Lepisosteus oculatus: one gene and its partners. The protein of the gene in region 1 purifies or fractionates together with the protein of each later gene. This does not show direct contact. Links are inferred from orthologs where the notes say so. Each region holds a gene or a part of one and is shown in the gene's direction. Other genes may lie near its edges.

Evidence for each region.
Region 2: the proteins of prpf8 (region 1) and snrpa1 fractionate together in Homo sapiens (co-fractionation; 3 studies listed by BioGRID, with this or other methods). This does not show direct contact. The link is inferred for Lepisosteus oculatus from reciprocal best matches to the Homo sapiens genes PRPF8 and SNRPA1.
Region 3: the proteins of prpf8 (region 1) and ddx23 purify together in Homo sapiens (affinity purification with mass spectrometry; 5 studies listed by BioGRID and IntAct, counting the BioPlex papers as one, with this or other methods). This does not show direct contact. The link is inferred for Lepisosteus oculatus from reciprocal best matches to the Homo sapiens genes PRPF8 and DDX23.
Region 4: the proteins of prpf8 (region 1) and eftud2 purify together in Homo sapiens (affinity purification with mass spectrometry; 9 studies listed by BioGRID and IntAct, with this or other methods). This does not show direct contact. The link is inferred for Lepisosteus oculatus from reciprocal best matches to the Homo sapiens genes PRPF8 and EFTUD2.

The regions. Positions count from the first base shown.
Region 1 is NC_090721.1:8,659,622-8,666,725, forward strand, and holds the start of prpf8 (pre-mRNA-processing-splicing factor 8), read left to right. Parts: upstream 1-4,090; 5' UTR 4,091-4,238; intron 4,239-4,674; 5' UTR 4,675-4,686; coding exon 4,687-4,786; intron 4,787-5,791; coding exon 5,792-5,960; intron 5,961-6,338; coding exon 6,339-6,503; intron 6,504-7,104. UniProt on the Homo sapiens protein: Plays a role in pre-mRNA splicing as core component of precatalytic, catalytic and postcatalytic spliceosomal complexes, both of the predominant U2-type spliceosome and the minor U12-type spliceosome.
Region 2 is NC_090700.1:49,165,953-49,173,280, reverse strand, and holds the start of snrpa1 (U2 small nuclear ribonucleoprotein A'), read left to right. Parts: upstream 1-4,309; 5' UTR 4,310-4,444; coding exon 4,445-4,526; intron 4,527-5,394; coding exon 5,395-5,542; intron 5,543-5,686; coding exon 5,687-5,765; intron 5,766-5,931; coding exon 5,932-5,978; intron 5,979-7,280; coding exon 7,281-7,328. Other genes in the region: selenoprotein S-like, read left to right, coding at 412-540, 1,151-1,217, 1,888-1,961. UniProt on the Homo sapiens protein: Involved in pre-mRNA splicing as component of the spliceosome. Associated with sn-RNP U2, where it contributes to the binding of stem loop IV of U2 snRNA.
Region 3 is NC_090696.1:21,000,731-21,007,908, forward strand, and holds the start of ddx23 (probable ATP-dependent RNA helicase DDX23), read left to right. Parts: upstream 1-4,178; 5' UTR 4,179-4,277; intron 4,278-5,721; 5' UTR 5,722-5,738; coding exon 5,739-5,926; intron 5,927-7,178. UniProt on the Homo sapiens protein: Involved in pre-mRNA splicing and its phosphorylated form (by SRPK2) is required for spliceosomal B complex formation.
Region 4 is NC_090723.1:533,214-540,389, forward strand, and holds the start of eftud2 (116 kDa U5 small nuclear ribonucleoprotein component), read left to right. Parts: upstream 1-4,165; 5' UTR 4,166-4,288; intron 4,289-5,333; 5' UTR 5,334-5,344; coding exon 5,345-5,446; intron 5,447-5,616; coding exon 5,617-5,779; intron 5,780-6,448; coding exon 6,449-6,527; intron 6,528-6,863; coding exon 6,864-6,939; intron 6,940-7,176. UniProt on the Homo sapiens protein: Required for pre-mRNA splicing as component of the spliceosome, including pre-catalytic, catalytic and post-catalytic spliceosomal complexes. Component of the U5 snRNP and the U4/U6-U5 tri-snRNP complex, a building block of the spliceosome.

The DNA.
Region 1 (7,104 bases):
TACTGGCCCCACTAACACCTCTTCCAACTTTAGTTTTTCCCAGGAGGTCTCCCATCCAGGTACTGACCAGGCTTACACCTGCTGAGCTTCAGTGGGAGGCCAGATATGAGTAAAAAAGTAAAAGAAAAATTATTAAATAATAACATACAGGACACACCGTGGGGCATTCAGTCAAAGACCCCAAAATGTGTGTTTTGTGATTGTATTTGAAGACACACAAAGAATTTGTCTCTATAACAGTGAACAGCGACAGAAGAAGCACCAAAAGTCTGAGATTTAGTCCTGAGTGAGCAAAAGACCAGCCTTAACTGAACGGAGCCTACGGGAGGGAGTGTAAACACGAAGGTGTTCAGAGGTGTATGAGCACGATTATTTAGAGCCTTTAAAGTCAGTAACAGGATCTGATATTGAGTACATGGCCTTATAGGCACCCAGTGCAGAGACGTAAGAGTGATATTGAATGCTGCCAGGCTCTGGTGTGGGACTACTGGACCAGTGAGACCTTGTGCCTGAGTACACATTATTTAAGTAGCCCCAAGTCTGTGCTCATATATAACACAAGTCTGTGCTCCTCAATGAAGACTGTAGTATATTATTCTCTAGCCACATCTACTCTTCATTGCTTATGTATGATGCCCACAGAAACTTCAGATTTTTACAATAATGACGTAGTTTGATCATGCATGTGTTAAGCTTTCTTATCATTTCCCATGACTTGTGTCCCACTGCTACAGTATACTTCTTTAGGTGTTTACCATGATTTCACTCTGCAGGACTACACTCCACAGTTTTCCACACAGCTAGAGACAGGCTGGTGTGGAAGTTACAGACTGTGACTTTACGGTATCTCACAGTACCTTAGTCTTTCTCACACATTGTCAGGTCACACTGTTCCAAAGTGGGGGTGGGGGGGGGCTTTATCTAAACTAGAAATCCACAGCGCATAATCGTTTGACTTCTTAAGTGGTGCCTGCAGTCAGCAGGGGGCACTGGAGCCCGATGACTGCATTGTTTAAGGCCTGGGTTGCACAGGTGACAAGTGGGCCGTTCTCACTTCTGGGTCTGAGTGTTGTGTGAATCACCACACTGTTAACAATGAATGAGCCAGCCAGCGAAGCAAAGCTCATTATAAACAGCACTCTGTAAGAGAGGCCCACGCTGCCCATTAACGTAGAAGTTAACAGCCAAAGTCCCTGGCCTAGAGTATGCAATTTCTGAACACCCCAACATCATTGTTACTAAATACAGTACTTTCATTCTGTTTGCGTTTGTATGTCATTTGAATGAATCTGATTTTTTTTAAAGATGCAAACATATTTTTTTTTAATGTAACACGTCATTCTTTTAACAAAACTAAATTGGATTGTTGTTATGTGCTGTGACCAAACTTTTCAATAAAACTTTTAGACTCAGATGCAGGGACATGTGTTCGTATTAATCCTGTTTTAAAGTGATTTTTTAACAACTATCTTTAGGTATTAATTTATACCTATACTGTAGGTAAGTATAATTGATATAATACGCAGGTCTGCGTGATTGAGTTATTACGAATTTCTTTTAATAAAGCTTATCATACACTGCAGTACTGCATTATCTTCACTTAAATCAGGTTGCGGGGGGTTGCAGACCCCAGTTCTTTTTCATACTTTAAAAGCCTGAAAAAATAAACACCTTGGAAAGTAGTTAGTAGTTTTAGACATGAAGAAAATTTTCTTAGTACAAAGTTAAATGTGGTTGCATCCCCTGTCTGCAGTGTTAGCTTTGTCTGAAATACAAATAAGGAACAAGACCTTTATGGAAAACACAGGGAACGGACCAATCAATATCATGAAACCATTGGTTTTGTGGGGAATGTTTCCTGCTTATTTTTTTCCAACACAACAAACTTTATTTCACAATAAACATCTGACCATGTGTATACACTTACAAGTCATGCAATCTCTACCGTATTACAAAAGGTCTTGGAAAGTTGATTGTCCATGTTCAATCGGAGCAAGTGGATTCTGGGGCTGGATTTGCACACTAAAAGAGTCTCTCCCAGCCCTGCCTCTTGCTGTTGTCCCTGCCTTACCCCTGTCCCGGCTCTGAAACCGCGGGTGTCCAGTCCTCAGCAGGAGTTCAAGGGAACAGTCCCTTCCCATGGTCCTGTCCAGTGCTGTTTGTTTTATTTTTTGATATACAACAAAAGGAAAACACGACAAACAAGGGTATACACACACAGATGTCACAACATGACAGAACAAAGGTAGCATCAAATTAATGAAACAGAACAAAACCCAGAACTTTACCAATAGTACAGAGGTTGTGTGGCGATAGGGGTCACATGAAATACATTAATATGGTAAAAGATATTTATAAACCAACTCATCAAGCATATTTGTAAATATTTTCAGTGAATTTGAGTATAGCTTAAATGAGTTAGAAAATTCTTTAAAGCACATAGAAGTTTTTTAAACTCTAGATGCACATATGTAAACTTTTGCCAACAAGAGAATGGCATTTAACATTATACAGACTTCTCTGTGTGAATTCAAAACACCAAGCACAATAGCCTTAAAGGCTAGATGGGCACAAATATACTATTATTTACCCAAGAACATACAGAGTGCCAGAAAGCTGTTGATTGATGACATGAGGAAAAATATGTTCAGTTGTTTCAATATCTGATTCACAAAAGGTGCAAGTGTTACAATCAAAGTTAAACCTTTTTCTCAGAAATTCCTTAGAGGGATATAAATTGTTCTATTTTAAAATGAATGTCTTAAGTTTTCAGTGGCGAGGGGAGACATTAATGTATTCAGTTATAATAATAATAATAATAATAATAATAATAATAATAATAATAATAATAATAATAATAATAATAATAATAATTGCTTACACTCATATAGCACTTTTCTGGACAGTCCACCCAAAGCTCTTTACAGGTAATGGGGATCCCCTCCACCACCACCAGTGTGCAGCCCCACCTGGATTCTAGCAGACATAAGAGAATAATAGTCTCTTTAATTAAAAATTACTTTCTCCTTGAGGGTAGAATCTATCTGCCATAATTGTCTGGGTGTATTTATTATTGCACGTTTTTCTAAAATATTGTAGGTACCAATTTTGATCTCAGGTAGTAGGGGAATTATATTACTATGGAATGTGGATTTTTTTTTTACCAAAGTCAGAACATCTGGTGGAATTGCATCTATAATTGTCATATAAATGTCATATTTTTAACAAAATCACAAAATTTATTAACTTCTCCATTAGCCTTCTCCAATAGATGCACGACTGACCAAATACCTTTATTTAACCAGGATTCATAAAATATGCTCTTTTTTTGCCAGATATATCTGTTGTTCCATATAACAGCATTATGAGGGGTGAAGTTATGGTTATATGATCATTTCCAATATAACAGTACTTGTTGATGAAAAACAAAAAGTCTGACTGGGAGCGTGTTTATGTCAAAGTCACATCTCAGCAAGAGGTCAAAGCCTCCTATTTTTCCCATTACTTTCCTAGGAATAGCAAACCTGAAGCTGTCTTTATTATTCATAAAAGAACGCAACCATTTTATCGTTAGGGTACCATTCATGATATCAATGTCTATCATTTGGGCACCACCCTCTTCAGATGATTTCAATCAATTTAATTTTTCTTGTATAATGTTTTTTTTCCAGATGTAGGGAAAAACAATTGACACTTTTAATTATTGGGGTGGAGAGGGAGATTGACGATGCTGGGAAAATGTTTACTGTTTATTTACTATAATAATACGCTCTAAAGCGTACACTCTACAAAGATGGCGATTCAACGAACTGCATAGTGACGTATATCCTTGTTTGAAATCTCGATGGTTCCTATCATTCTCTCTAGCCCACCTCCTACCTCACTGATTGGATAATTATACCCGCCAATAAAATGTAGTCTAAATCATTTTCCGGGTAAACATCCGGGGCTTTGTACAAAAGGTCACGCATTAACGCTTACGCTTTTGGCGTTGGTTGCTATCGGGTATTCTATTGCAAACACAGCACAAGAGCTACGGAAAAAACGTAAGTGTTCTTCGCGAATACTTTCGTAGTTTGGCATCGTGCGGTCTGCGTTAGTCTGCGCCATTGTGCCTGGTGGATGTTTAGCAGCGGAGAAAGCTGTGGACGGATTTGAATAAAATATCGTTTAAAGGAATGATCTAGAGATTGCATAGGGACGGATTTTACATATAAATAAAGTGCCGTGGACCTGAGGTAGGTAACACTGGTGATGAAAGAGCAGTTTTGCAGCGATTGGAAAAGTTGCAGGAGCTGCGCTTTATTTGGCCTAGACTGTGGCGCAAACTTGTGAGCTGGTCGTGTTGTCGTGTAATCCGATTTTATTTTTCGTGTAGTTTGTTTTTCCCCCGTGGGGGTCATAATAAAGACGAATGTCGGTATGTACGCAATATGATCGCCCATGGATTTTGTAATCCAGACAATCGGTGATCGAACTGTTTACAAATTACAGCGACTTCCTGGCGTAAGTGTTGCCACTGCCTCGGTTGATCTAGAATATGCTGTTTTGGCGGGGGAGCTCGATGTTTATTTCCCGTGAACACGTTTTTGCGCGTTTTAGAAGTTACACCGAGCCGCGTACACGCCACACGGAGAGCAGGAGCTAACATCGCTGTTGTTTGCCCGGTTTCAGGTTGGCGTCACCATGGCTGCTGCTGCTTTTCCGTACCGAGCAGCACCAGGGACGATTCCCACTCCGGGCCAGGTGCCGGACTACATGTCTGAAGAGAAGCTGCAGGAGAAAGGTGAGCGAGGGGGGACACTGGAGGAGACACCCTGTGTTAGTGTGGCTCGGAAAAGGGCCGTGTCTGAGTTGAGGGTTTGGATCAACTGCTTGAACGGCAGACGTAAACACTCTCGCTCGAACCTGACGCGTGAAAAGCCAGCGTGTGTCGGACAGTAGTTAGGGCGATCTTGCCAGCTCTCAAGCAGAGTGCGGTTTATCTGTGCTGTTTTTGTTGGGTTTGGAGACCTTGAGAGAAAACCGGGCTGCTGCTGTTGTAAGTGGTGGTGGTGGTGGTGGACCAGTGCTCTTAACTATAAGCCCAGCATGTCCAAGCCAGCCCTCCCCACTGTGGTGCCTGGAGATCTGTACTGCTCCATTGGCCAGGAGCCATATTGCCCTGCAACTCACAGCTGGCAGCCCACTGGACTGGGCAGTACCTGGATGGGAGACCTCCTGGGAAAGCTAAGGTCGCTGCTGGAAGAGGTGTTAATGGGGCCAGTAGGGGTGTGGTCCGTGTGAGTGCTAATGCCCCAGTATAGTGATGGGGACACTAAACTGTAAAAAGGCACTTTCTTTCGGGTGGGACTTAAAACTCTCTGTGGTCATTAAAAATCCCAGGGTATTTCTAGGAAAAAGTAGCAGTGTTACCCCAGTGTCCTGGCCAAATTTCCCATTGGCCTTTACCAATCATGGCCTCCTAATCCCATCTCTGAACTGGCTTCATCACTCTGGTCTCCTCCCCACTGAGAGCTGGTGTGTGACGAGCAGACTGGTGCACTATGGCTGCCGTCACATCATCCAGGTGGGGCTGCACACTGGTGGGGGTGGAGGGGATCCCCATTACCCCTTAAAGCGTTTTGAGTGTCGTGTCCAGTAAAGCTCTACTGCAGTGTAAGGAGTTATCAGTTATTCTTTAAGATCCCACGGCACTGTTGGTAACAGCAGTAATATTGCCCCTGGCGTCCCGCAAGGGGGTGCAAATGCAGCTGGTTGACAAGACACCCCGTTGTGTTCCCTGCCGCAGCTCGGAAATGGCAGCAGCTGCAGGCGAAGCGCTACGCGGAGAAGAGGAAGTTCGGCTTCGTGGACGCCCAGAAGGAGGACATGCCCCCCGAGCACGTCCGCAAGATCATCCGCGACCACGGCGACATGACCAACAGGAAGTTCCGCCATGACAAGAGAGTGTATCTGGGGTAAGGCAACACTCGGGGCTGCACATCTTTCCAGCAGTGCTGTCTTTGGGGCTCATAACCCTGATTCCCCTGAAGGTTACCCCCCTCCCCCCAATGATCTGTATGTCTTGAAGTGTGTACTCCTTTGGAATATAAACTGGAATATTGTGTTGGAATTGTAAAATTGCTATACTATGTGCACAAGTGTAATGAGGATCTTGAAAGGTTTTGAAGATCAGACATTTTCTGCATGGTGTGAAATCCTATTCATTTGTTAATCTTTTCTTACTTGTGGATTCAATTCCACATTGACCTCGGGTACCTTAGACAGGGGCCTGCTTGTGTAATGGAAGGTATAAAATGGCTTTGTCCCTGATGTCCCGTGTCTGTGCTGCCCAGCGCCCTGAAGTACATGCCCCATGCTGTCCTGAAGCTGCTGGAGAACATGCCCATGCCCTGGGAGCAGATCCGGGACGTGCCTGTGTTGTACCACATCACTGGGGCCATCTCCTTTGTCAACGAGATCCCCTGGGTCATCGAGCCCGTCTACATCGCACAGTGGGGGTGAGAGAGCTGTACAGCTTGCCAGCACTACGTGGATTTCCCTTAATGAGCACTAAATAGAGTTACTAGAATTATTTATGGGTTCTGGGTGTCATGCTGGTTTGGGGTTTTGTGAAGAAACAGTCCAGCATTTAGCATGGCCTGAGCAAGGTAGAATTTCATCTTGCGGATTTTGGAACTTAAATGTCCAAGGATTTATTTTGGGACGCTAGTGGTGTTTGGGATGCCTTTGAGAGTAAAATAGAAAAAAAATAATACTGAGCAGAAATATGTAATGTGGGGGGAAAAATGAGAAAGGGCAGATGGTAAAAGTCTGAATGAAAGGTGAAGTCTATAGGCTGGGTTAAAAAACTATAAATGAGTTTTTACCTCTGACTGGCAGGGAGCCCTGCAGCAAGGCCGCTGAAAGCCTGCGCCCCGATACTCTTGTACCTGTACTATACTAGTGACCTCAGCAGAGCGTAACGGCTTAATGAGTAGTGAGGGGTGCTACGTATTGCTGGGATTTGGTGTGCAGAGATTTAAAAGGGAAAAGTAGGTGCTGCCTTGAGGGGGAGGGTGACACGATTGGGGTGATCGCAGAGCCCCCTTGCGTAGCTTT
Region 2 (7,328 bases), on another chromosome or scaffold:
ACTTTTTGATGGTGTGCAGAAATTCAGAAGTGCAGCCCGGATCTCTGACCTCTGTTGCAGAGACTGAAATGGCTGTGCCAGGACCCCCAATCAGTCCACCCAAAGCAACACTTTGGTGATATCCCCACAGGTGGTTCCTTTTCCTGGAAAGGGAAAGCACGACATTTGTTTGGGAATTCACTGTGGATAAGATTAAGATCTCTTTATTAGCCATCTGCAATTTCTTGCAAATTCCTGCAAGCATTACTTTCCTTCAAACATGTCTTATGTTTCTCCTTCCTTTTGAATATTTTACAAAACATTACTGGCACAAGCGTCTCATAATTACTTCATTGATTCAGCATTACAAAAGGGAGTGGCGCTGTGCATGTGTGAGCCAGTGCAGATGCTGTGACCTCTGTGCTTTGACAGATGGAGGAGGCGGAGAAGAAGCAGCAGAGAGATAAAGAAGCTGAAGAGCAGAAGAAGAAGGAGAAGATTGAGAAGTGGGAGTTCATGCAGGAGGGCAAGAGCTACCGAGGGAAGGCGAAGGCAGCACAGGTAGACCGTACCATGAGAGCGCGGTTGGTATTTTAAAATGATCAACCAAATCACATAAGCTCCATACACTGTACTGTGTTATCCACCCTGAAAGCAGTCTCAAAACATGTGATGTTGCACATGGATCTCACCTCTTTTCCACAAACACTGTTCTTCCCATGCAGAAACACTGAAATGCACACCTTTATGATAATCTAACTGGCAAAAGCAGAATTAAGGCTGTGCCTGGGGCAGTATAGTTTGTAAGGTAAAGTATGACCCAAATGATGGGAAGATATGGCAAAACAGATGTACAAGGTAAAAACATGGAAAAGCCACAGAGGTACAGTACATACTTACATACTTCAAAAGACAAATGTGCCAGAGCAGCTGAAAGTTGAGTGAAAAGTACCTCCACTTTATTGTTTTGTTTGTGGAATACTGATGACTGTGAAAGAAAAGCGATGATGTTATTAAGTCTGCCGGCAGTTGCATTCCAGGAGTGCTAATGGAAAAGCACAGCTTCTCAATGATTTCCCCATGGAAGAAATCAATGGCAGGATTTTGAAATTGTGCGGTGCACGTTAAACCATCTGGTGGGATCAATGTGGTGTCTTTGCTTTCTTAATAGCAAGAGACAAGTGAGCTCGCTGCAGTTCCCAAGAAGACAAGAGACAAGAAGCCTCTAAGGTCAAATGGTAAGAAGAGCTAATAATAACACTGATCTTTACTTCTACTCCCAATGGACAGCATGCCAGAACAGCAACTGGTCTGTGAACTTAAATTGCCACTATGTGATTCTCCTAATATTATAAAATCCATACCAATAAGTTGAAGATGTACAGGGAATAAGTATTGTGATTAGCTACAAATATCTTTAACATGAAAGTAGTGGAGCAAAGCTGCTCTCTCATCCTGCAGCCAGAGGTGAAATTTTGGAGTTTCTTCATGTATTTGTTGGCCTCAGCACTGTTGGTTAAAATGTGTATGCTTGGCATTTTCCCATTCTTACAAGACAGTATGCATAACAGTCATCTGTCATCCTAAACCCCATCAGGCCTTGACTCCAAGTGCATATCCTAATGTACATAAACCCACAGGAAACCAGGCTGGGAAAAGGGCTCAGCCATGAGTTTTATTGCCGCAGTTTAATATGAAAAGGCAGTTTTCCGTGATAGTAGTGGTGCATCATCTAATGTGCTGACATACACAAGGGTAGAATCACTTTTCCACGCACATTAACCTGCGCAGGACACACAAATAAGTTTCGTGAAGCAAAAAACAAATGCAGATTAAAATGTTAACCTTCTTGTCTGACAACACTGGTTTAACGTTTACCTGAACTACATTGTGTCTTTGCCTCCACAGACTACAACCCCCTGTCAGGAGATGGGGGCTGTGGCTCCTCCTGGAGGGCCTCTCGGAGGAGCGGTGGAGGATGAGGTTAGGGACCCCAGTCAGCGCTGGGGTCTCCCTGTTGCCAGCTGGCACAGTGTGCTGACAAAGACATCGTCTTACTAGGCTTACCAGACCTAGCATGCAATATGACCACTGGAGACAACTGGGATTTCATGAGCAAATGTTTTGGAATGTATGCCCCAGAGGTTATTTTATTTATCTTTCTCCCCTATAAGCCTTAAATACAGGTGTCTATTTTTTTATTTGGAAGGTAGTCTGTCTCACAGTAGCATTGCATGCCGAGTCTGTAAGCTATTAATGAAATCATCTTTTTAAAGAGACTTTCTCATTAAGATGGTAGAAATAGATAAGATGATGCCTTGTATAATCGGCATTGTGAGTGCATTATTTCTAATGTTGCTGAGGTGTAGAGCTTAATTTTTAATACTGTAAGTGCCTATGCAAACTGCCAAATGCAGAACTATATTCTTTCGGAAAGAGCTAAGCAATAAATGTATGTAAATCAAGTACTGTATGAAGTGTTCGTATAAACTTAATAAAAACACTTTAAACTCTCTCTACAAATGTTTATGTAAACAAAAAAATCTGTTCTTTTACATTTACATGTCTGTAGTGTATATAGACTTACAGTAGAATACCGAATTCAAACCTTTCTAGTCCTTCATAAGGACAGCTTGCAAATGAGCAGAGGCGATTTAGCCCGTCTTTGTAACGGACACGGACTGGAATCCGTGTCAGATATTGTAGAAGACCCTATGCGATGCGGTAAGAGCTGGAGAAAACAGGAGGCGTGGTAAAAAGGAACACACAGGGGTTTAATAGTGCACAAAATAATAGTGACAGTCCGTGAGACAGTGTACGGGGAAGACAAAACGGCATCCAAATCCAAACGAGTCCAAGGGCAGGTCAAAGCACAGTCCGAAAGTCCATCAACTGGAAATCCATCCTGGAACGCGACAAAGTTAAAATCCCCGAGAGAGGGGAGCACACAGACGAACGAAACATGGAGGTCCAAGGGTGACGGGGCGAGATCCTCCAGACCCCGGGCTCAGGAAGCGGGAGGTGTCGGGGATGAGGCCTATGCCCTCAGGAGACGGACGTAGGGTTTCCTGGTACTAGGCGGGCCTCACGACATCTTACCCTAATGATGAGCCCCGAGGACTGGAGGAGCTGGTCTTTAAATAATAACGCTAAAAGGGTACACCTGGAGAGCTAAATCACACGAACAATAATGAGAGCAGTGGAGCGCCCTCTAGGGAGGGATGTCGGGCATGACAGTCTTGCTTGCTTGGCTTTGAGTAACCAAATGATCCAAAGATCTCATCCAAGCTCATGCTCTTCTCTGTCTCAATATGGTCGATGCAGCTGTATTGTGAAATGCCACATGTCACTGTATGAAAAAGGAAAAGGAAAGTAAATGAATAAATTAATGATTGTTAAGCAGCTCCTGCTCTCTGTGTCTCCATATTGGTCCACATTCATTGTCAGTCTCCAGCACCAGCTCCTGAAAGCTGTGCAATAATTCATTAAACTCATATAGAGCTTTTGTGGACACTCCACTCAAAGCGCTTTACAGGTAATGGGGTCTCCCCTTCACCACCACCAATGTGCAGCCCCACCTGGATGATGCGACAGCAGCCATAGTGCGCCAGAACACTCACCACACATCAGCTATCAGTGGGGAGGAGACCAGAGTAATGAAGTCAATCATAGATGGGGATTATTAGGAGGCCATGATTGATAAAGGCTATAGGGAGATTTGGCCAGGACACCACAGTAACACCCCTATGGCTTTCTAGAAATGCCCTGGGATTTTTAATGACCAGAGAGAGTCGGGACCTCGGTTTTATGTCTCATTCGAAGGACAGCGTCGTTTGTTATACAGTACACTGTCCATGTCACTACTGGGGCATTAGAACCCACACAAACTGCAGGGTGAGCGGCCCATACTGGCTCCACTAACACCTCTTCCAGCAGCAACCTTAGCTTTCCCAGAAGGTCTCACATCCAGGTACTGGCCAGGCTCACACCTGCATCGTTTCAGTGGGTTACCAGTTGGGAGTTGCACAGTAATAAAGCTGATATAGTGCAGGGATGAGTAGCATCTGTATTTTAATCAGTATGTCTTAATAAACATAATGTTATCATAAATGTTTTATATACTTTTAAAAACAATAAATGATAAAAATATCGTTTTGCATTTTCTGTAGACTCTCTATAATTTAGTATTTTTTTTACTACCCACTACAGGTTTGCGTTCAGGCCCTGGAATATGAGCCCTACCAAAATGGCCTCTCATTTCTCATACGAAACATCCGGGTTGTTTGGGTAGTCCGCTCTAATGTGTTTATCTCTATGGTTCGATGCTGGCTACTGCTGCATGCTGGGAATAAATGCAGAGCCAGTTAGCGGCGTGCTAGGGGAAAGATTTTCTTGAGGGAGCTTTGGTTGTGGTTGTTTAAATTTTATTTGTAACCTTCTTTAAGAACAAAATCTATCTGTTGCTATGGTGAAGTTGTCGGCAGAGTTGATCGAACAGGCGGCTCAGTATACAAACCCTGTTCGCGACAGAGAATTGGACCTTCGAGGTACGTTGCGGGCCGCAGGACGGATAAAGCGGTAAATTTAACAAAGGCCGCGGAAGATATTGAACCGAGTTAAATAATATTTTGTGATTTTGTATATCATCACTTGCAATTTAAAATCCGATGTGTCGAGCACTTAACCTTTCAAGGCGGAACGTTTTGTTTTTAATCGTTTCTTGCGAATTATTTTATCACAAATGTACCGTTTTAAATAAGCGTAATAACTCGTACGTGGCATGAAATAATTTTACTGTTTTTGTGTGAAAACAGTAGAACGTGCACGTGCATTGCAGTAAGGTTTTCTTTTCTAAAATTTTCATTGTTATGCGACAATATTGATAAAAGGCGAGTTCAGAAGTCCTTGACGGGTTTCTGCAGCTATTTTAAATGTAGCCGTGTTCAATACTGGGGTGCTGCTAGGGTCTCAAATCATGTTATATACGAGATATGCAGCTATTGTTTTTTTAGATGCATACAGTTATTAGTTTATACATTTTTCAAGGATGAGGAGTGAGATACATTTATAAGCTAATGATTCAGCGACAAATAACTAGAGTTGAGTCTGAAAAAAACGGTTTTTTTTCCATTCGTTGAAAGGAGACCTTGGCAGATTGGTGCGCCTTGATTGTGGCTGAGATTCTTGTTTTCAGTGGCCGATAAGTACGATTACAGAGATGAACTCTGGTCAGTGTCCATCTTCAGTGTGCAGTCTGATGTTTTTTTACTTGACAGTCCTACCAGGCTAGACATTCTCCTGGTGACACTTTCCTGACTGGCCATGAAGGGTTAAGAGTGGTGGTTAAGTAGCAGTACTAGAGTATTGTGGGTTTTGTCCCCGTTTGTTGTTCTCATCCCAATTTCTCGTGTTCAGGTTATAAAATCCCTGTCCTGGAAAACCTGGGAGCCACATTGGATCAGTTTGACACTATAGATTTCTCTGACAATGAAATCAGGAAGCTAGATGGCTTTCCCTTGCTGAAAAGAATAAAAACGCTGTTGATGAATAACAACAGGATATGGTGAGCATAACTGGAACTGTTATTCATTAATAATTGTACACTGCATAAAGAGTATTTTCCTGTAAATTTGAGTTAATTGGCTTTAATTGCATGGTCCTCATTGTTGGTTTAATCTTGTAAGCTTGTGCTTGTTGTGTTTTCTAGCCGAATCGGTGAAGGTCTTGAACAGTCTCTTCCAAATTTGAGAGAATTAGTCCTCACAAGTAATAACATCCAGGAGCTGGTAAGCTATTTTTTTTGTCTGGCCTTTCTTATTTACACATGCAGAAAGATGTTTTAAGCTGTGGTGTTATGTGTTGACTCACATGCATCCCAGTGTTAATGTGGATTTTCAAGTGTGCCTTTTTAAAAATAAAAAAAACTTCTAAATCTGTTTATTTTTTCCCTAGGGGGATTTGGATCCTCTTGCATCGGTAAAGAGCCTAACCTTACTGAGGTATATATATATTTTTTGGCTTCCTCTAAAATGAATTAACTCTTGTTGTGGTCATACTCTTATCTGAAATTGAAATTCATTGGGAAATTTGGTTTGGTATTAAGTGTAACGGTAAAACTATAATCATTAACAGGGAGCCGAACTAAATGAATAAGGATATGGGTCCTGTCTTCTCTTGTCATTCATCTTAATTAAAACCTTACTTCCTGCAGCAGTACTGCAAATTGTAAAGTAATACAGGAAGGCTCCACAGCCGAAAAGTTGTTTCTTTTCTTCTATTTTCAGCGTGGTATAAATTTCTACTTGTTCCAAGTAATACAAGTCTACAACCTGAAGAGTAAAATACCTTCTGATAGAAAGATTTATGTTCTGTAATATATTGCACGAAGGAATGCTAGTTTTGTTATAGGCGGTGAAACACATGGAGTCCAATTTTTTTAACCCAGGCTGGAATTTTTGCATGTGACAAATGCTTTTCTGTCAGTACCTGTCAAGAGCCCGTCATTCATTGATCTTTCATTTATTTGCTGAATGCTATTAGTGGTCTGTGGAAGCTGAAAGTGATTTTGTCTATGAATGTGGTGTACATGATTTGGCAATAGAGACCGCATTTCCACTCAGTCACTAACTATTGGTTTTGGTTGATTCTTGAGCCTTTGAGCAGATTCTTGTTTTTACTCCAGAGTTGTTGGAGCTCTGGGGTTCTGGATATATATTTTTTTCCAGCCACAATTCGGGTCTTTTTAGTATGGTCATAGAAAATAAATTGACATCTGTGTGATTGTCTTTCGTTTTTCAGTTGGGAAAACAGAAGTCAGACCGCATACCTTAAAGGGAATATTGAGATGGAATTAACATGATAAATATAAAAAACACAGAAATCAGTTTTCTCTACTTTCTCTGTTAGGATGTTTGCTTTTTCCCTGTAGTTCTGTCAGTGTATAAACTCTCATTAGTCATTAAAATGTCAGTACCTTAACATTTGTTTTTGGAGATTTTGCAAATTGTTCTTGTCAAACTCTTTGTTGTTGTAAGGAAATGCTCCACAGTTCCACAGAAAGATACAATATCCTGAACCCAAACTATATTATCGAGAAGGTATTGATTGGTATATCATTCTGTTTAACATGCATCAGCCTGTAAATACAAGTTTTTGGCGTAAAACACAGTTTTCAACCTTTTAATTTCAAATTAATTTGAAATAAAATTGAATTTGGCTTGCTTTTTCCAAAACTTTGTAGTTCACATCTGTAAATTGAATTATCTGTCAACTGTAAACTAACCTCGTACTTATTTTTTCAGCCTTTTAAGGAATCCAGTAACCAACAAAAAACATTACAGGCTGTATGT
Region 3 (7,178 bases), on another chromosome or scaffold:
CTTCTTCCAGTTCTCCCAGCAAGCAATGGGCACAAGGCAGGGTACACCAGTCAATGACAGGGCACACACAGACACAGACACACACACTCACACCAGGGCCTGTTTTCCCAGAAGCCAATTAACCCGCCAGCGTGTGTTTGGACTGTGGAAGGAATCCTGCACAAACACAACGAAAACTTATAAACTCCACGCAGACAGCACCCCAAGTCCGGAAATTAAACTCAGGGGCTCAGCGTGAGGCAACAATGCGGACCACTGTGCCACCATGCCACCCTACAGTACTACTCATTTCACTGAAGCTTTTAGCTAAATCAGCCTACATTTTCACCAATTTACAGAGCTGGATATATTACTGGAATGATTTTGGTGATGTACTTTGGTCACGGGTACAACAGCAGCATGCTCACCTGGGATTTGAACCCACAACCTTCCTTATACAAATCTGGAATAGGAGCCCATAATCTGGTGCTTTGAAATGGTTAACTGAGTCTTTTACACAGACAGAAACAGGTTTTTTTTTCAGCTGTTTCTGCCTTATCTGTGCTATAACTCAGCAGCCGGTAAAAGAAGGCCCTGGCACGTCACCCATCGAGTGTACACGACCTTGGAGGTCAGACAGGAGACCAGACAGATAGACAGATGAATGAAGGTTGTTAGGTGGAGGAAGAGACAGATAATAAGTCAGACAGGTACTGAGGTGCCAAGCCATGTAGAGCCTTATAGGTGAGCATGAGGATTTTGAAGTCAACTAGAAAGCTGACAGGAAGCCAGTGCGAGGGTTCCAGGACAGGAGTAATGTGATCACTTGCAAGCCACCTGGTCAGGATTCTGGCCGCTGAGTTCTGAACATATTGGAGTTTTTTCAGTGTGGATTGAGATACCCCAGCTGGTAGGATTGAAGGATTTCTTTAGGACGCAGACTCTAAATGAGAACAGCAGTCTTTAACATGTACTCAGGAGACGTGCCCAAGCCCCTGAGGAGCCCATAGACAGAACCAGGGGGGTGGACTATCTCCTGAGAGCTGCAAGCGCGAGAAGCATGCTGCAGAGAAGCTATTAGTTCTAATTAAGATTCCTTGTTAAAGGTGCTAGGGATCAGGAAGGGGTAGATGGGGGGGCTGATTTAATTAGAAACTGGGAGGTGACCTGTTTATCTAATTACCACGGGCCTTGTGTCTACCATTTGTTTCATACCTAGCTGTTTGTGGGGGGTCGATGGAAGTGTGTTATCTGGGGACAGGAGGGAGAGAGGGAGACAGTTTCGTCTGTCTGTCACAAAGGGGAGCAAATACTACCTGCTCGGTCATGTGCTGGGGTGTGGAAGGAGTGTCTTTTTTCTGTGTCTGTTATAGTGGTAGTTGGGTGTTTTTAATGTGTACCCCTGTCCCTTCCTTTGTCCTGTGCCCAGTCTCCTCTCCTCCAAACTGTCTCTCCTCTTCTCCTCCAGACTGTCTCTCCTCCAGTCTCTCTTCCTCACCTACAGTCTCTCCTCCTCTCCTCCAGTCTCTTCTCCTCTCCTCCAAACTGTCTCTCCTCTTCTCCTCCAAACTCTCTCCTCCTCTCCTCCAGTCTCTCCTCCTCACCTTTAGTCTCTCCTCCTCTCCTCCAAACTGTCTCTCCTTCGGTCTCTCCTCCTCTCCTCCAGTCTCTCCTCCTCTCCTCCAAACTGTTTCTCCTTCAGTCTCTCCTCTTCTCCTCCAGTCTCTCCTCCAGTCTCTTCTCCTCTCCTCCAGTCTCTCCCCGAGTCTCTGCTCCTCTGAGAATTAAGGGGGGATCGGGACAGTCCCTGTGAATAATGACAATAAAACCACAAGCCACCTTTGAAGTATATTTGTCCAGTTTTCAGAATGTGAATGACAGCAGTGTGTGTGTGCACTGAAGGATTGTGCATGAGGGTTTCTATGCTGGAGTTCTTCCATGCTGGAGTAATTGCGTAATAAAGAGCTGCGTAGTGTTACAGATCCATGTTTCTCGGACTTACTCGTTCCTGAATGACATTAACATTCAGCTCATGCCTCCTGTGCCCCTACCCTCCCTGCCCAGAGCCGACTCCATTACATTCAGCTGCACTGCTGCTAATACCAACCCTTGTTCCCCAATTAGCACATCTGAATAGCATCCAGACACACAGAGGTGAGGAAAGCCTGCTTAATACATTGTTGGTATTCAAGATAGACACCTCATTTACGGCCATGGGCCTTTTTTAATTTATTTTTATGTCTTTGCCTTTTCTTGATGAGATTTTCTGATTTCATCCATTAAAAAGACAGGAGGCGGCTCATATTACCCTGTTCCGGTCCTGAGGCACTGGGTTTAGACGAGTGACATTCAGCATTAAAGTTCTGCTAACTACTTAACATCGTAAGAAGGTTACAAATGACAGAAGGCGTTTCAGACCCATCTGGTTCATTTTCTGGCTAGTAGGTAATTGACCTGAGGATCTCCTCTCATCTTAAAGGAGCACAGGGAACTTACTTCCAGCACATGGCCAGGCAGGTTGTTCCAGACACCCTCCATTCTTTGTGTAAAGAACCACCTGTCGTTCTGAGTTGCTGTCTAGGTGTCACTGGTGTCCTTACCCTTCTGTTTCACTGATACTCAAGAAGACCGCAGAGTTGACTTTGTCAGGGCCTTTAAGGGTGTTGAATACCCCAGTTCCCCTCATAGTCTCTCTGTCTAAGACTAAAAATAGTCAGTTTTTTTGGCCCGTCAGAGCAGAACATTCCTTTGAGTCCAACAGTATGAATACCATCAGGCTCTGGAGATCTGCTTATCTTAGCTGCATCTAAAACCTATTATACTTCTGGCTCTTCAACGCTATAATGTTTTCATACAGGCTTGGTAAATCCTTTGGTAACACAAACGTTTAATAAATTAACCACTTCTATTTAATAGTCTAAAAGTGTTCATTTATTATCTGTTCAAAATAATATTTAATGAAATGCTACCAGTACCTGACTGCAGTAACAACTAAATGGCGAAAGCTCCACCTTGTGGCCAATCCTGCAACCTTCAATATTATATTTTTTTCCAACATTTTTTCAATTATTTTTAATTATAATTTTTTTATACCGTGCCTTTTGATCCAGGGCATTCTCAAGGCACCGCCTTCTTTTATTCTCCCAGATGGGAAATTTGCTTTGCAGGCAGCTCTGACCCCCAGCTTCTCTCCCTGTCTGTGTCTGTGTGTCTCAGGGAGAGCAAGCTGGGGTCTGCGAAAAGACCAATTCCCAATACAAGAAATTGTATATGGCCAATAAAGTGATCTTATCTTATGAGAGGCATAACCCAGTACACGATACATTTAACACAACATGAACCCATTTACACATAAAAAAACATATGAACAGTACGATAAAACTGTGTATTTTTCCATGATACATTGAGTGATACATTTAGCGCCTTGAGAAGCCACCTTTAAAGGCGCTATATAAAATAAAGTTTATTATTATTATTGAAAAAATTAGAGTGGGAGTTAAAGGCCACTGAAAACATAGTAGTTTGAATGTGAGTTTCTTTTCTTCTCAGCATGGAATAAACCCTGATTTGTTCCTGTGTAGAATTATTATGATCATATCTGGGCTGGCATGCAGGCACAGCGGTTTGCATTGCTGCCTTGCAGCGCTGGGGCCCTGGGTTCAATTCCTGAACCCATGTTGAGTCTGCATGTTCTCCCACAGTCCAAAGACATGCTGGTTAATTGGCTTCTGGGAAGACTGGTGTGGGTGTGGGTGTGAGTGTGTGTGTCAGTGTGTGCCCTGTGGTGGACTGGTGTCGTACCTTGCACCGGTTGCCTGCCAGCTGGATGGGCCTCGGCTCCCCTGCAACTCTACAGTGATGAAGTGGATTGAAAATGGATGTGTGGAATACAGCTGCAGATACGGTATATTGCCTTCTAATTCACTTAGAGGTTACTTGCAGTAGACTGTAATTAATGTACTGCTGAACGTGATAAATAGATTTGATCCTGATTACAATGGTTTAATTATCACTGTTCTGGCTTTGTAATTATATTGATAATACCTGTGTACTACAGTACGATACCCATATGATTAGAGGGCTTAAATAATGTCCTTGTAAGATGACGACACATGTAGAGAGTCTTCTGGGAATTGTTGTCCATAACTCCGTAGCTTCCTATAGGACTCTCGCCTAGAACACTACAGCTCCCAGAATTCATTGTTCGAAGCAGGCGCATTTCCGCTTTCGCAGAACATGGCGGCTTGGTAGAAACGAAGTGAGTTCGGTGATCAGAGAGGATTGGAATATTTGAGAAGGTAAGGGTATCTGTTTTATCAACTTCTCCGGCTACTGGGTTACTATTAATAGCCTGTAACCCAAATCATGGAAAATATACTAATTTATTTTTTAGAAATACTGTTTAGACGTAGAGCCCCGTTTCGTTGTGTTTCCATTTTGTTTTGCAGACGTGCTGTGTTCGCATTAGAATTGAGTGAATCCGCCGTGTTTTACTTCAGAATTAGACGAAGACTGTCGTTGTTTCATGTTTACATGCAGGTCTGCGTTTGTACAACTCGCCATCGAGCTTTGACACTATTGCTTTTTAATTTTTAAATCCACGGTGTCGTAAAGTTTTTTACTGTAAGTCCCGAACTGTGACTCGGTATCAGTCTGACTTTCTGGAGGGCCCTGGAGGGTGTGTGCTCCATTTCCTTTTTCTTTTCGAGCAGCGACACTTATTGTTTTCTTACACAGGCAAAAATCAGGTGTTACACGAGGGCTTTTACAGCTAATAACTGAGAACAGTTCATTAAAGGGCCATTTATTTATAAATAAAACTTCAGATGCAAGTTCCAGGTTAGAGCTACGTGAAAATCACGTGGAAGTGCATTTTAAACCGAGAACAGGAGGCATTGCTGTACACAAATAGTGGTGGGGGTGGGCATGCTGTTGGAGCCGATACCCTGGCTTCTTTCAAGAAACTGCTGGATGGGAAACTCAGATTAATGACCTCCTGAGCGGCTGCGGTGCCTCTCCTCTTGTTTGTAATGATCTTACAGGTCTTGGCCTGGTGCAGTTCAACAATCCGGTCAGCTGTGTAACAGAGAGTCCCGGCTGGGTTTAGACACCTCTGCTCCAGACATGTCTGCGGGCCGTCTGGTGCTCTGTGACTTTAATCGCAGGCTGTTTCAGTGTGAGGCATGAACACAGAGGACCACCCGGTCGTGGACCGCAACAACATTGATTTATCCAGCAACACCCTCCCTTCCACTATAAGCCCTGTGTCTCGTCAGTGGCTAAGCGCCTGTGATGGCCACTGCTGTCCAGCACAAGACAGCGGGCTCTGCAGGAGCGGATCGACTCCCCTGCTCTGGACTGCGGCCGGGTTCTCCTTTGGCTAATGGGGGTGGGGGGAGTCAGCTCCCCCCACTGAGTGAGTCCTCTGATCCCGAACTCAGGGGAGCTGGAGGCGCCCCTCTTCCCCCAACTCTGACTGTGCCCAGCCTGCCTGAAAGCCACTTCCGACGGCCAGTAGGAAACACACTGGGATCTCTGATTTAACTGGCCTGCAGAGCAGAGGCCAGTTACAGGCCTGACGGGTGGAAGCAGCCCATCCCTGAAAGGATCTCCTCTAGGGTCCCACCCCTTCTCCACCATGGGGGCTCAGATCGGGGTCCCCTCCACCATCACTGAGGGCTGGTTGGGGACCCCTTGAGCTGCCCGCAGTGCCTGATGCACCTGTGTGTTCATTGCCCCCAGCCCGACCCAGCTGACAGATGGCCGGAGATTCCTCGGACAAGAAGGAGGGAGAGTCCTCGGGGCCGAAGGACAGGGAGAAGAAACGCAGCCGATCTCGCTCCCGGGAGCGCGACCGGGACCGCAAGGCCTCGCCGGCCAAGGAGCGCAAGCGCCACCGCTCCCGGGACCGGAAGAGATCCCGGAGCCGCTCCAAATCCGCGGACAGGTGGGCGGGCTGCTTTTATTCTGAACTCGTCAGGATCGCCAGTCGATCACAGGTGTGATCTGTAAGGGGACTGGCTCTACCTGAGCATGTTCACAAATGCACGTTCACTTATCCAGATAGGGTATTTTACTGTTCTGATATTCATTTTCAGAAGGTTTTAGACTTTTCTTTTCACTTGGCTAATGTGGGTTACTGTGTGTAAATAAAAATGAAGCAAGCCTAATTTAATTTGTTTTTATTTTCAGAAAAGGTACAAATTCTGACAGGGGGTGGTGACTTTCTATTCCCACTGTAACTCTCTCTCGGACATGGAAACAGATTTTCTTCCTCAGGCCTCTGAGCTTTTTAAAGGTGGACAGAACCGTATCGACACATTTCAATAAAGGAACAACAGGTGGAACCAGCAGGAACAAGTAATAGGTTTATACCATGGTGAAAAGTCTTTTTCTGACACCTGATGAAGGCTCCACGGCCGAAATGTGTTTTCTTTCTTCTCTTTTCAGCGTGGGATAAACCTATTACTTGTTCCTTTGCAGCCTGCGCATTTCAATAAATCTTTTATTCAGGTCTTCTGTTGAATGTGCCTTAACGTACTACTTTATCTGTCGTATGGTTAAATCTGAGCTACAAATGGCAACAGGTTGGAGGAAATAGTGAAGCTCAGGAGCAATTCAACGTGCTCTACAAGCAGGGGGCTCTCAGGAAGACTTGCAGCAGTGTGGGGGTGTGACCTCCCCCCTGTCTTCCCTCTGTGCCCCCAGGTGTAACAGTGTGAAGTGTAGGAAAGCGCTTATCCTCGCAGCAGTTTAGTTTCTGAATAATGTCAACGAATTGTTTAGAGAAGTTGTGTTCCTTGTGATTTGTGTGAGGCACGGTAAGATTCTGCTGTTGGAAGATGCAGTTTTTGCACGCTGTGTGGCGGCAGGTGTCTTGTGTTCTCTGGCACCAGCGCCCTGAGCTGCGATGTTTCTGTTGCAGCAGACTGCTCTCTACCGCGCCACTTCACTGATTCCCATTCCCTCCTGTTCCCAGGATCCGGGATTTCTGCCGGCCTCAGTGCTCAGTCCAAGAGCATGCTTCAGCCTCAGTTTTCACTCCACCTCTGCTGTGTTTGTTGCCTTGGCATTTGTGCTTCTCTCCTGGATTTGCCTCGCCTGGTTTTTGTCTGGGCTGCTTGCCCAGTGTTTGTGTTGCCCAGACTCTGTACTGTGCCTGTCTCAGCTCTGCCTCAGTCACCACAGTCACACGACCT
Region 4 (7,176 bases), on another chromosome or scaffold:
TGGTGATGAGCAGACAAGGGTGGGAATGACAATCCTAGAGCGCACGTTTCACGTTTTCCTTCAGCTGAAGGAAAGCTCATTCATTTCAGCTGAAAAAAACAGATGAGGGGAGTTCTGCCACAGAAAGTGCCGCAGGGTTGATACAATTACAAACCCCAACAACATTTCTGAGAACTGGTGGAAAGCGCACCAGAAAACGGAAGACAGAGGGCTCCCCCAGAATCAGGATTGGGAATCGCTGTGTTAGGAAATGTGTCCCTGTACTTCAGACTCATGTTGCAGAGAGTTACCTGGCAATACCCTTGACTGCTGTCATTGGCAAGTCTCCGCCAGTGGCAATCCTGACCACTCTCCGTCCCGCCCACTGCAGCGTTCTCAGATGTGGTCTTAACTCTCTGTCACCTGCAGTTCCAATCCATGGCTGTGGTAATTGCTAATTTGTAAAATAACATCCTCCTTGCACAGTCACTGTTACCAGGCAGCAGGTTCCCATACAGGAAGTCAGCTTAGTGTTGCCACACAGTTTGCAACAGAGGTTGTGTTCCCGTAAATTCTTGCTCCCAGAAAAAGCCTTTGCTTCTTATTTTCTTTGGAAGCTCAAAGATTTGAATACAGAGAGAATTGAAGTGTAAACAAAAAAAATAAAGTGACTCCCCTTCCCCCAAGTAGTTTTCAAAAATGATTGGTGTCATTTATTTGGAGCACTTATGAACTGGATTGAGAAATTTTGAAATGTATCTTGTGCTTCAGGAAATGAGAGAGATGATTTCACAGCCGGAATGGCAGACCTTACAAACAAAAACTTTTTTAAAATCTCTTAATCATTTTTAAATTTAGAAATGTCCTTCATGGCCAAGAACCTCTAGCCACGTCTGCTTAAACTACTCAGTTTATTCAAATTCAAAAAGATTTTGATCAATTCAGGACTGGGCAAACAGCTGACAAAGCACATTTACAGTACATTTAGTTGTTTTTGTTGACGTGTCATTTTATCTTCCAAGCAATATGGAATAAAAAATGGGAACAAAATGTTAGGATATGTAGAGAAAAGTGGGGAATGTAAATAAAGTGTGTTAGAGTAAAATTAAACAATGCACTAGAAAGACCTTGTTTAAAATATTTTGCAGACATTTGTTCACACTGCTGCTCTGGAATCAGTTCAGATACAAGCAACCAGATATACTCCTGGCCAACAAATTCAGCCTGCTAATGAGATCAGAATCCAAGTCATTGATATCAATTAGAAAAAGCAGTGGTCCCAGTTCATATCCATGAGGGACTCACCTAATGACATCACCCCAAATTGAGCGTTTACCCCTATCTTATGTTATTGCTGTGGTGATTTTTTTCATTTTAATTCTAGTTTCCTTATTAAGACTGAAGCTGTTGTTTGGGAGGGTTTCAGTTTTTGTCACTCAGCCCCACAGGGCTCTCTGTTCCAGACTCAGATGGACGGCAGCCAGAGTTTGTCCAGGAAAACTCACAATTCACATGAAATATATGGCCACAAAACAAGTTGTTATTCCCCTTGGGACTCATTCACAAACCTTTCTAATGCTATGAGTAGAAGTGTCATCAGGCAAGGGATGCCCGGTGAAACGCCACACCCACAAACCATGAAAATCCGAAAAACGTTAAATTGTAGCCTATCTGCCTTTGTAGTGCCGCGGGGCCCCACAAGCCTGTCTGCACTCACAATACTTAGTTCCCCAAACATCTCTCTACTCCCCACCATGCTCCACTCCTGTCAGCCATGGTGACACCAAACTGCAGGGTTTCAGTTCCTGCTCCACGTCTCCTAACCCCTCTTCAAAATCCTGTCGCTGGTCCACCACTACGCCAGAGGAGAAATACTTCTCCCAACAGTGACAATTTAAAGGTGCTCAGACCCTCGTCAGCACACAAGTTTTTGGATTCAGAGAAGAGCTACAGTTCAATAAAGGTTTGAATAAACTACTGTATGTAGACCACATAATTGCAGTTTTTATTCTGATACTGGAATATTACAGAGGTATCATCTATGTGGTATTGCTATAAGGTATCACTGTCTAATTTTAAAAGAAAGAAAAAGAAAAATAAGTCCCGACAAAGGACACATAAAAAAAACACCGTTATAATAAAAAATCCCAAGGAACATGTCTTACAGTGTTCTCTCTCAGCACATGTCTCTATCTGTGACTTTCCAAAACAAATTCCAGCAGCACAACTCTCATGAACCAGCTCTGTCCTTTAACAAGAAAGGAAACTCCATTTAGGATGTCCTCTTTAATGACCCCTTTAACCTCTTCTGCTAGGTTGCTGTGGGATTCTGCCTCTATCCTCTCACAGAGCCCGTAAAAAGCACATGCTTGTCTGTCCCATTTGATAGTGAGTAGCTAATTGATTCAAGGATCTCGTTCAGGAATGTCTTAAAAAAAAACAGGGCATTTACTTCAACAACATGGCCCCTTTATGTAAATAAATGCCTCCTTTTCCAGTTTTTCATGTGATTTGCACTTGAATCACCCAGTTTAAGTTTCACTGTTTATTCTGAAGAATTACTCTGAAATAGTTCACTGGGCTTACTTTTGTTCATGGGTCTGATTAAACAATTATGAGGTTTTTGAAACTCCCTGTTGTTTAGGAATATAAATATTTATCAGTCCTTCTTGAAAGAAGCCAGTTTCATACTCCCACAATCCTTTGCCTCTTGTTCTTGGTATAAAATTCCGCATAGTTCCCACATGTGTCCTCTGGTTGGGTTTCACTGTTTATTCCGAGGATATTCAGTGGGTTGCAGCTGCCTTCATGTAATGAGAATGCTGTTGTCCCATGAGCAGCATGAGGATGTGTGTTGTGGTGCTGGAATATTGTGTCGTCAGTGAAGGATGACCCTGCAGTGGTGAGCTAGCTGCATTCCTAGGTTCATGACAGTTTTCAACAGCTCTCAATTGCATTTGAAAACGTTTGGCGATGCGGTGGCCAGGCATCGAACCTTTGCTCACCACTATACCACCAACACACGCAGTGGTGAGCTACAGAAGTCATCATGGAGGTATCTCCTCCTCCTCCCGTCTTGCCTGGGCAAGAGCTCCTCTGGACACAGACCAACATGGCAGCCTGCTGGACTGCCCACCCCTTAACTTCTCATGGTTTTTACACCACTCTGTGCTGATGCCACCAGTCAGTGATCCAGAGGACATGAATGCACTGCAGGAGAGCACAGACGGGCCTCTTCACCCACGCAGACCAAGGGTGAATATACAAACACCACGCAGATCGCTCCCCAGGAATTTAAACCCAGGGCTGCAGTGCAGAGTGGGAGAATTGCTCACCACTGCACCGTCGCCTCTTCGAATTCTTAATTCTGTAAAATAACTCTTCTGTTCTTTGTAATTTTACTCACACTGTTCCAAGTCAAGCCCTAGAAGTTTTCATTAGTAACATGAAAACGGTGTTAAGCATTTTCTCTTTTTCTTTGTGATGATGTAACTGCCACTTAGACCATTTAATCGTGTTCTCAGTAGTAATCAGGGAGCCGCTATTTAATCCTTAAAGGGGCTGAGTAGACAAAATCCAAAAGAACATGAACAACCTGCAACCAAACAAAGTATTTTTTTTGTTAACAAGCTAATAAACTCCAACATATATAGTTCATATAATGTAACGCATACGGCCTCCATTGCTTGCGAGAGTTGGCTTACCAGAGTGGTGACGTCACCGCCCTTCCCAGTGGATAGCAGGGACCGCAGCTGCTGGGCTGAGGGGAGATCTCTCTTTAGCTCACCAGGCTGGGTCCCTGTTGAGTGATGCCGGAGGCCCGGGTTTGAGTCCCTGATGGTGGGGGACCGACCTGAGGCAGAAGCGGTGAGGGTGCCTACGTGAACCCTGTAGTGTTACAATAATAAGATGTTAATAAGTTAACACTCTTTTGCAATACTACAATCTTTTTCTGCCCGTTAATATTTTGCTTGACAGGTTCACCTATTTTATCTAATTACAGTATTTATTACTGGATGAATTCTGACATATAAAGTTCCACATAGAATTATTTTATGTTTTTAATTTCATGGATATGAAAAAATCGACAAATTAAATAACAGTAAACTTGTATAAAAGTATTTTTGAACAGGCAGTACAGTGGCCGCCATTATCTTCTTACGTAATTTACTCCGCGCAGGGTCCTTCCTCTCTGCTTGTCGCAGCGGGTGAGGGCGCAAGTGAAACGCATTGAGAGCAACTCGCACCGGATTGAAGAAACATTGGCGAAAATAAAGGCAGTACTGTCTTAAACAACGTGTATACGAAGGTGAGTTTACAGTTATTTTAAATAATTCTGTAGTAAGACCAAGTCAACGTCTCGCGTTTAACACAAATGTTGAGGGAAAGCGGCAAATCATTATCGATTGATAGTTTTCAGACATTTGAATGAACATATAATAAACGCATTTTCATCTAAAGTTTGTTAATGATGCACACGTCGTCCAGGCAAATGGAGTTACTGAAATAGTTCCCGAGTAGCATCAGATTTTTAAAATTGGTTCCCAAATTAGCCACGTCCAGTACCAAACCTGTTTAGGATCAGCTTTACAGACATTCAACTGGGGGCTCAATTCTTTTGCACATTTAACTTTTTTTCTTGGTCTATATGTTAAAGTGCAAAAATAAAAGGATAATAGTTGACTATCCCTACAGTCAAGCTTGAGTTCTGGTGTGAAGTCAGACAAGAAATGCTCTGGTAATAGAAAATAAAGAAGGTGGAATGTCCGTGTTTAGGATGAAGGTTGTTTATACTTGTAGCTTTATTTGCAGCAGTTCAGTAAACCTGGAGCTGAAAAGCAGGAATGACCCATTCTGTCGTACCTTTCATACCGTTGTGGGACGCAGTTTGGTTAGACGTGACTGAAATTCCAGAGAAAGCAGAATCATAATACACGGGCCAGACCTTTACAGCAACTGCAGACGGCCCTGGTGTTCTGAGACACCCCAAATCCGTAGGAAACTGGCGAAAAAATAAACGAGTAAAAAATCATCGCTTTAATTGCCGCGGTTTAGAGAGTGGTTCCATTTGTGAATTTTATGGGTGATTTCAAACACCCCATGCAGGTTGGGGTTTCGTTGAAAATAGTTCAGAGTTCTGGGATTAAGAATAGTAATTATTGCTATAAATCAGATTTGATGCGATGATATTGTGAATTAAGCAAACAACTATATTCCAAGTGCAGATATAATGCAGAGAAATGGACTTGGTTTTTTGTTGACTTTTCCACACGTGAATTTGGCTATGAAGTAGAACCAGGGCAGTGTGTTTCTGAGCCCACTTAGGGCTTTTGATTGATTTTTTCCTCCCACAGATTGTTCCAGCATGGAGACCGACCTGTATGACGAGTTTGGGAACTACATCGGCCCAGAGCTGGACTCCGATGATGACGATGACTTGGACAGGGACGAGCGAGATGCGGAGGAGGTAACAGGCTAGTTGCTGCTGCTGCTCCTGCTCTGCTCTGTGCCCGGAGGAGATGGAGGGGTGTGGGCGGTTGAGCAGAGCCACAGTGCGTGGGACGCCCCTGTGTTTTTTCCTGGTGTCCGGCGGCGTGGGTTCTCCGCTGCGCTCAGCTTGTCCGTCTGCCCGCTCAGGCCGACGAGGACGACGACGAGGAGCCGGCCGACCCCGACGAGGAGACCCCCGGGATGGAGGTGGTGCTGCACGAGGACAAGAAGTACTACCCGACGGCGGAGGAGGTGTACGGGCCCGAGGTGGAGACCATCGTCCAGGAGGAGGACACACAGCCGCTCACAGGTCAGGTCCGGCTGGGGTGCTGCGGCTCTGTGTTCGCAGGGGCCTCTCTCGCTCAGCAAGCGTTCCCTTCTGACAGGTTTCCATTGCCGTCTGTTGAAATCGCTTCATATTATTAAAGAATCCAAAATTCGACCATTTCTGATTTCGCTTGTAGGTTGTAAGGTTTTCAGACATACCAAAATAATTTCAGTCCCTGCTTTAAGACGGCAACATTGTTTTTTATTTCCTTTTTCTGCACTACAGCTTGAAAGAGCAGTGTGAGGTGAATTACATCTGGTTTTGCTGTGAGTTGGAATGTAGCTCTTACAGAAATGGGAGAAAGAACACCTGTGAATTTGTGCACAGAGGGGTCCAGGTTAACGTAATTTTGTGACTTGAACGACCTGTCTGAGATTCAGAGATGTATGTTATAACCTTAGATTAATTTGGCTAATGTAAAGCACTTTTATGTCTAGTAATTTAGTCTCCTGTTTTGATTTTCTGCCTCTGAACATTTTTTATTATTGTTAAGCACTCATAAATGAGAATGTCTGTCATTTAATTATGCAGTTTCTTTTTTGAACATTTCTGGAAATGGAGTAATAAAGATGATGTACTTTGTGTGTGTAGGAAAGCATTGATGAACAAGTTACTTGAACTGTGAATTTCCTCTTCTCTCCTTCCCCCTAGAGCCCATCATTAAACCTGTCAGGACAAAGAAGTTCACGCTGATGGAGCAGGAACTGCCCTCCACTGTATATGACATGGAGTGAGTCTCAGATTACACCAGTTTCATTCAGGTCAACAGGCTCTGGTCTTGTGTAATGGCAGTCGATTGAACATGAATGCTTATCGCCCTGAGGAAGTCTAGCCTCTGCTCCAACAGTCTGGCAGCTGATTCCAGACTCCCACCACACTTCGTGTAACGAAGTGTCATATTTTTCACTTGTTCCTGAATCCTCGTTTCACTTCTAAAGTAGTCCTCTGGGTTGACATTGTCATTGCTTGTGAGAGTTTTAAGTCACTCTGTCTGAATTCCCCTTGTAGCTCCGTTGAAGGCTAAACATTTCAGTTCCTTTAAGTAGCCTCATCTTCCTTTCTGCAGGTTTCTAGCCGATCTGATGGACAGTCCAGAGCTGATCCGAAATGTCACACTTTGCGGACACCTGCATCATGGCAAAGTAAGTCTAATGCAGGATTGTTGGTTAGCAGTTTCCCCCCTGACGGACAAGGTCCTCAGGGGAATGCAGTTTACCTGTAACTCTTCAGCATGTTGCTCAGTGATGCGGACTAGAGTCCATCTTTCTGAAGAAAGGATACGTGCTTCTATATGCAGCACTTCAAGTTTGTTTTTCACCTTTGCAGTAGTATAATCAGGTCCTGATTTGAGATTTGGCCGAGGTCCACAGTAGTTCATT